Linked DNA regions of Canis lupus familiaris. The protein of the gene in region 1 binds, or shares a complex with, the protein of each later gene. Links are inferred from orthologs where the notes say so. Each region holds a gene or a part of one and is shown in the gene's direction. Other genes may lie near its edges.

Region 1 (3,638 bases):
TATGTCTCTGCCTCTCTTTCTGTGTCTCTCATGAATAAATAAATAAAATCTTAAAAAAAATGTGTGTATAAGTGCAGAAATAGGTTGTAAGAGGATCATTGAAATTTTCTGGTGGGATGAAATTTTGTGTGTTCCTGTATTTTCTTAATTAAGCAGGTTTTATTTTGTAACATGAAATACATTTTTGAAAAGCAGAAAGTGAATCACTGCATTTTGCTGATGGAGCATTTTTACTTTTCTACTTTTAGATATATACTATTAATGAACTATTAAACAGATGTTAGAAAGTTGATATATCTACACACATTAAAAACTTCAACTTTAAAAAAATTGCTTTTGTTAAATATTTAGAGACATCCAGTAATCTGACATCTTTTAGTGTTCTAAACTGATAGAGAACCTCACTCTGAACAGTTAAACTGCGCTACACAAGAATATTTTTCATCAGAGAGTTGAAAGAGGAAGATTCTTGCCCTTGAAAGAAATAGATACAAATCAGCTATGTAATTATCTATATGTACACAAACATATCTCCATGACATCATGACCTCACATATATGTAAGAGGCAGTCTAAGAAATACTTAGCAGTTTTTATATTTATACCTTAGTTTGTATTAAATTAAAACTTGAATTGGGAGTACATTGTTAAATGACCTGTTTTTACATGAAACTTCTTAAATTTTCTAGGTGATAAAACAGGAACAAGACCAGAGTAAGTTTACAATTTAACTTTTAAAACATTTTCATTGAAGAATTTTATATATTAAATTATAGGCAAATGGTATGGTTGTAAGTAAATGAAACTTTATAGTCATTTAGAAGAAAAAATATTTGAATCAGTTTTTGTCTAAACTAAAATAAACATAAGCTCTGGAAAGATTTTGGAAGGTTAAATCTGTAGTTTTTAATCGTTAGGAAAATTTATAACCAGTTCTTTCTAGAATGTTTTCTACCTAATTTTACATATATATACCTTTTATAAATAACTATACTAGTACCATTTATTTTCTGATGATGGAGAAAAAGCCTCCATATACATCATATGTGTAAAGATCACTATTTTTACTACTACTTATATTTTCTCACCTAATTTATATTACATTAAATACAACATATATAAATAAATGATCCAGTTCATACCTCCAAAACAACTTGTTTAACTCTATTATATGAATGAGGAAGCTGGAAGAGACTGAGGTTTGCCAAGTAGCAAATCTGTGACTGAAATTTATTTCATAATTACATTACAACATGTCAAGTTTCACTTATTCCTATCTCATTAAATATTTATGATTCTGTTAAGCTATTCCTAGGTTTCATTTTGTTGAACAAATTGAATTTATTAAAATAAAGTAAAATATAGTGAGCATCTTGTTACAAGAAATTTTATAGACCTTCTTTAATGAATGCTTTGATTTTTTTAACTAAATATGTCAGTCATAGAATTTTTGAGATGGGGGAACTTAGTTCAATATTAGTCTAATGTGCTGTATTTTCTAAGTTTTTCCTTAAACATTTGGTCAGATGCATTTATGTGTACTTGTGATAGATGCCAGTCTTTTAGAAAAACATCTCCCTCTCAGATGAATTGTTAAAGTTATTTTAAAGGTCAGGAAATAGAGGGTTTTCTAATAAAGAGCTTTGAAATCACCTAAGAAAGCTATACATGGGGAATATTTGCTTTATTTTCTTTTCAACATATGCTCTAGTGAAACTCAGCTGTCAGCTTTTTATACTGTTAATGCCTTTAATACATCTGTGGCTTTTTTCTTAGGGATAGTAAAGCACTGAAGGATGAAAATCTACCTCCTGTCATCTGCCAGGATGTTGAAAATCTCCAGTAAGTGTGAAATATAATTAGATAAGTCATATTGAAGAATAGTAGAATATATTTTAGGGGGAAAATCGCTTCTTCCTCTTAAATATTTTAAGTTGGATAAAAATTTCAATATTCCTATAAACTCAAGAGAAAACAGAATAACAGGAATTAAAATTTTGTTACTGTCATTCTGAAAAAAGCATGTGAACCGTAGATGGATTTTTAATATTTCCTTCTGAAACACTAGGACTCTGACCAACCTATCATAAATGTACTTTTTTCCTGTGGGAAACCAATGGTGTATTTTTTTCTTAAAGTTCAATTTTATGTATCTTTTTAGGAAATTTGTGAAGGAGCAAAAACAGGTACAAGAAGAAATTAGTAGAATGTCTTCAAAAGCCATGCTTAAAGTACAAGAAGATATTAAAGCTCTGAAGCAGCTTCTGTCACTGGCTGCCAGTGGATTACAGAGAAACACCCTCAATATTGACAAGTTGAAAATAGAAACTGCTCAGGTAAACTAACTTAGAATAATTTTATCATAGAGTTTCATTTTGTTTTGTTTTATTCAAGTGGAAATCAGTCTTTTGTCAATTATAAGACAATACAGATAATGCTGTAAGAAAACTGTATAGCTTGTGTAGTTTTAAGTTGCTGTAATAGTAATAGTTACTGGTTTGTATTGAGTGCTTACTATTTATGAGGCAGTATTTTAAACAATTTATATTTATTAGTCCAGTTAATAGACTAATAGCTGTCCTGAAAACAGCTCTATGAAGTAGGCACTCTTTTCTTTGTTATATAAATAAGAAAATGGGCAGAGAACTTTGTTAGTAAATGGAAGAGCTTGGATTCAGACCCTGGTAATCCAGCTCTAGAGTTGATGCTCTTAACTGGTTTGCTTCCTAAAAGTGCTTGTTGGCTAAATTGCTATATTACACAAGCTAGGCAGAAAAAGAGGTTTTTAAAATCTCTCAGCAATTAAATAAAAACTGTTTTGTGCTTTATAAATATTAAGTTCTGATGACTTGCTGGTATTAGATCTTAGTTAAAAATGTTAATGAGGCTCATGTTTTTTGTCACTTATGTCTGTTTTTTTTTGTTTCCATTATGGTATAATATATGTATAATATATAGTTTTAATCTACATTGTTGGGAAAGAATGATGGTAGAAGATTTATTTTTGTTTTGTGTTTCACAATTATAAAATATACTTGATCTGATCATGGCAGGTTAGAAATCTTTCCTTAAGTTTCCCTTCATCTGTTAATGAACTATGTGATATACCTTTTTCTTGTTTAAAGGTTTTAGTTATTTATTCATGAGAGTCACAGAGAGAGAGGCAGTGACATAGGCAGAAGGAGAAGCAGGTTCCATGCAGGGAGCCGGATGTGGGACTTGATCCCAGGACTCCAGGATCACACCCTGAGCTGAAGGCAGACACTTAACCACTGAGCCACCCAGGAGTCCCTGTGATATACCTTATTAAAGATATATTTGTTTATTTTAGAGAGAGAGAGAGAGATAGCACCAGTGGGAGAGAAGAGGCAGAGGCAGAGGGAGACAGAGAGAGAATCTCCAGCAGACTCCACACTCAGCAGGGAGCCCAATGCAGGGCTCTTTGTCTTGACTCTGAGGTCTTGACCTGAGCCAAAACCAAGAGTTGGGCACTTAACGAACTGTGCCACCTAGGCACTTCTATGATATATGCCTTTTTAAAACATGGGCTTATGAGAGTGCTATGCTCTTCATAAATGAAGTGATAATAATTTAAATAAAAATTTTAAAGGTGCTTATATGTCCTTTTTTATTGAAATA
Region 2 (4,088 bases), on another chromosome or scaffold:
TCACGAGAGGTGAAGTGTCCAAATTACAAAATACTGCAGGCGAAAGTCTGCAAAAAAATCAATGTGATGCAGCATTTATTCTGAGATATCAACAATAAATTCTTTTTGAAAATCATTATTACTTTATTATTAATAAATTATCGTTACATTATTTTGCAATAATGATGATTATTATTATTTCTTGCAATAATGATTATTAATACGACTCATTTGAGAGAGCAGGAGATAAACACCTTCCCCTGCTGGTTTCTAGCTCGTTACCGCCCTTGTCCTTAGGAGGACGGTGCAGAGAGATCAACACTTGGGCATGGATCGCAGATGCCAGTGTCGACATCTTCCATCATCTCGAGAAAATTTTCAGTACCGTACAGTCAAAAAATCAATTTCAAATACACCTGTGCGTGTCTTAAAAACAAAAAAAATGCATTTATAAACAAGAATAGGAAAAATGCTAGGCCAGTACTGCCCGGAAGAGGAGCCGGCGTCAGGGAGACGCTTGGAGGCCTTCAGCGGGGTCGGGGCGTCCTTCCACCTCGGAGCGGAACGTCAAGTCTTTTTTTTAAATTTTTATTTATTAATTTTTATTTATTTATGATAGTCACACACAGAGAGAGACAGAGAGAGAGGCAGAGACACAGGCAGAGGGAGAAGCAGGCTCCACGCAGGGAGCCCGACTGGGACTGGATCCCGGGTCTCCAGGGTCGCGCCCAACCGCTGCCCCGCAGGGATCCCACGTCAAGTCGTCACTGAGATGCACGCCCGGCCTGCAAGACGCAAAAAGCCAAGACAGTCCAAGCAGAGGGGCCACCCGACTCACCGCAGTCCGGGGCTGGAGTCCGCTCCTCGGCACCCGCTGCCCCGAGGCCGCCGCTGGCGGAGGAGGGCGCGCACGGTGGGGCCTGTCCCTGCCCACGTGCCGACTCCCAGACGACTCGGGGCGGTAGAACACGGGAAAGAGGCCGCTTCGGGGTCCTCGTGAGCTCCGGCGTGACAGTGGGCTCCGCGCTGCGGAGACGGGGATCGCGGCCTCCCGCCCGGTCCCCGCCACACGCCCGTCAGCAGCGGAGCCCGCCTCCGCCCGGGCCCTCCCTGAGGCGCTGAGCCCGGGGCCCGCGGCACCGCCGCGACGTCACGCCCTGCGCCGCGGGACGCGCTCAGGCCCCGGAAGCGGGCGGACCCGGCGCGCTCCCGCCAGGCCCCGCCCCTGCGCTTCCGGCGTTCGGGCTTCCGAGGCGCGGCCAGAAAAGGGCCGGAACTCGGTGAGCCGGAGGCGGCTCTCGGCGGGACTGAAGAGCGGCGCGCACCGAGGGTCGTGGGGGCGGCGCCTGCGTCCCCTGCTCGCGCGACATGGCCTTCAACTTCGGGGCTCCCTCGGGCACCTCTGGCACCGCCGCGGCCCCCGCGGCCCCCGCGGGTGAGTGGTCCTCCCGGGAAGGAGGGGCGGCCCCCGGTGCAGCCCCCCGGCCCGAGCCTGTGCGGCCCGGAGACCCTGGGGGTGTCCTGGCTGCTTGGGGACTCCGGGGGCTCCGGGCCAGGGGCCGCGGCTGAGCGGGCCCGGGCGGCTCCTGAGGAGGCCGCGGGGGTTCCGAGGCCCAGCCCGTGGCTCCCCGCACAGCGTCGCCCTCCCGGGGTCCGCTTCCCGCCGCCGGGGGCCCTCCGGAGGCCAGACGGCGGCTCCGCGCTCCCGCTGCCGGACGGCGGCCCGGCTCTCCCCGCCCGAGCCCCCGGGGCCCCGAGGTCCGGTTGGGGCTGGCGGGTCGGGGCTGCGCGGCGGCCGCTCGGGGCGGGCCCTTGGGTCGGGGCTGCGGGACCTCGCGCTCGGGCTCCTCCCTCCCGTCCCCGCCTCCACCTCCGCTTTCTTAACCCGCTGGAGCTAAGTCGAGGTTTGTCCTCGTTCGCTTCTGTGAGACCTGCTGACTCTTCTAACCCTTGTCTTGCTTTCTTTTCCTTTTCTTTTCTTTTCTCTTTTCTTTTTCTCCCCCCTCCCCCGTTTTAAAATTTTGTTTCTGTGCCTACACGCCGATCAGGATTTGGTGGGCTTGAGACTGCCAACTCCACCGCCAGTGGGTTTAATTTTGGGGGTTTCGGATTAACTGCTAATCCTGCAGTGAACTTTAATATTGGGAATTTCGGTGTTTCTACTACCTCGGCGACTCCGTTCAATTTTGGTAACAGTCTGGCAAGTGCAGGTAGATACTGCGGGTCGTACGTGTGACGATGTTGGGAGCCGGAGTCCAAGAATATTTCGCAGCTCCGAGTTTTCGGAAGAGCAGCGACATGCCTAAAGGGGAAAGGACGTTCATTCATTCCCTAGAGTCGAATCAAAAACGTTTGCATCTAGCTCCGACTGTCTTAAAAGATTTGGTTTTTAGAAGCCTTGCAAGTTGTGATGTTCCTTTGTTGAACTTGCATTCGATCCGACAGAATATACCTTCCAAGTGGTAAGAATCTGGAACGGATTATTTGAAGTAGAATATGTTTTCCAAATTGTTTATCTTATCTCTTACAAAACAGAAACTCACCAGTCAGGCTCTTTTCTCTGGGATTCTTGGACTCCTGCAGTCATTTTTTTTTTTTTTTCCCCCATCTTTCCTGCATCTTTCATTGCAATTTCATTCGACTGTCTTTGTGTTTCCCAAGAGAAACAAGTCTTATACGAACAGCAACATCCTGTATTTTTAAAATGTGTTTAGCAACAACAATGTATTCCTTTGGTCCACTCGGCAGATTAGGATGCATTTCTGTAAGATATGTAATTTTAAAGAGTCTTGGTTTTTTACAGGATTTTTTTGAGAAATAAGTAGAGCAGTTTAATTTGTCAGATAGCATGGAGGCTAGTAGGTAGGCTAGACATATTTGTATTAAATAATGATGAAGATTTTAGTACCTATATGGATTGAAGCTCATTGGAAATTTGCAAAGCACAGACTATAATGTGTTTATATGTATATATAAATTTAAAATAGGTCTGTGTATTTTACATAGTTATCCTATAGAAAAGTCTTGTTCCTCTGCTGCTCGTATATGAATATATTGTCCATATTCTCTTGCATTATGCCACTTATACCCATGCCAATTATATGCATTTTGTAAACATTATTTATTCCCTAAAATTTATTTGGAAAGTCTGGTATTTGTGCAGTATTTGTTAGAGCAGTACGAATATCACCTCGGCATCTGATTTGAAATGTTTTGAAGAATACGTTTGAATTCCAAAGATAAAACAGTCCTTGTCGTTAAGGTATATTTAAAGTGATCGTGTATCACTGTCATTTACTGTCATGCACATTTATTTTTCCGTTTGCTTAAAATTGGCACTGGGTAAAACAGCTGTATTTTGAAATTTGTGTTTCTGAATAAAGCCACCCAGCTTGTAATTCAACAACAATAAATAAACTTATTGGTATTTGCTTGATTTCATGTTCATTTGGAGTTATCACTGTTAAGTGTTGAGTTGTGATAATATAACTGTATTTTAACCACTTCTATGTATGTTCAGTAACTGAACCTTCAGCAAAGGGATGATAGAAATTCTTATTTTTTTTATTTTTTTTAAAGTCTTGTTTATTTTGTATCTTAACAGATTCACTACTACATTTTTGGTATTAGGAACCATGATAAGCTACTAATATTGTGTAGCCAAATCAGAATATATCATAGTTATTCTATGTAAGGGAAGATAATGAAAAAGATTGAGAGCAGTGTTTTATACTTTTAGTTGATTTTTTTTTTTTTTTTTAGTCCAAATGTTTACAGTTTGCAGTACTGCAATAGAACCTACAAGAAAATAGCCTATTTGGTTATGTCTACAGTATGCAGTCTATTCTTGAGTAATTTTCCAAATCAAAATTATATGGTGAATATCAAAAGGTTGAGGTTTTTTCTTTCTTATATCCTTTATGTAACATGAATCTATCTCTTAAACTAGAAATATAGGAAATTAGAAGTTAGAATTGTGAAAAACTGTGGCATAATGCAGCACTAATGGTTCAGACTTTTTTTTTTTTTTTTTAAGATTTATTTATTTATTCATGATAGACAGACAGGGGCAGAGACACAAGCAGAGGGAGAAGCAGGCTCCATGCCAG

The links. The genes of interacting proteins can lie anywhere in the genome.
Region 2: the proteins of NUP58 (region 1) and NUP54 are in contact, whole or in part, in a crystal structure (PDB 4JO7), measured with the Homo sapiens proteins. The link is inferred for Canis lupus familiaris from reciprocal best matches to the Homo sapiens genes NUP58 and NUP54. Residues at the interface, in NP_054808.1 of Homo sapiens: Pro342, Tyr345, Phe346, Leu349, Val350, Phe353, Gln356, Leu357, Tyr360, Gln363, Ile364, Leu367, Leu371, Gln374, Ser378, Ile392, Tyr393, Phe396, Leu399, Ala400, Leu403, Ile406, His407, Val410, Lys414, Tyr417, Tyr420, Arg421; in NP_059122.2 of Homo sapiens: Tyr453, Leu459, Glu462, His466, Leu467, Gln469, Gln470, Gln471, Gly473, Leu474, His476, Leu477, Ile478, Ile480, Ile481, Asp484, Leu485, Ile488, Lys489, Leu490, Val491.

What each region holds. Positions count from the first base shown.
Region 1 is NC_049246.1:14,201,886-14,205,523, reverse strand, and holds part of NUP58 (nucleoporin p58/p45), read left to right. Parts: intron 1-688; coding exon 689-713; intron 714-1,775; coding exon 1,776-1,841; intron 1,842-2,160; coding exon 2,161-2,335; intron 2,336-3,638. UniProt on the Homo sapiens protein: Component of the nuclear pore complex, a complex required for the trafficking across the nuclear membrane.
Region 2 is NC_049253.1:39,406,991-39,411,078, forward strand, and holds the start of NUP54 (nucleoporin p54), read left to right. Parts: upstream 1-1,228; 5' UTR 1,229-1,347; coding exon 1,348-1,414; intron 1,415-2,027; coding exon 2,028-2,189; intron 2,190-4,088. UniProt on the Homo sapiens protein: Component of the nuclear pore complex, a complex required for the trafficking across the nuclear membrane.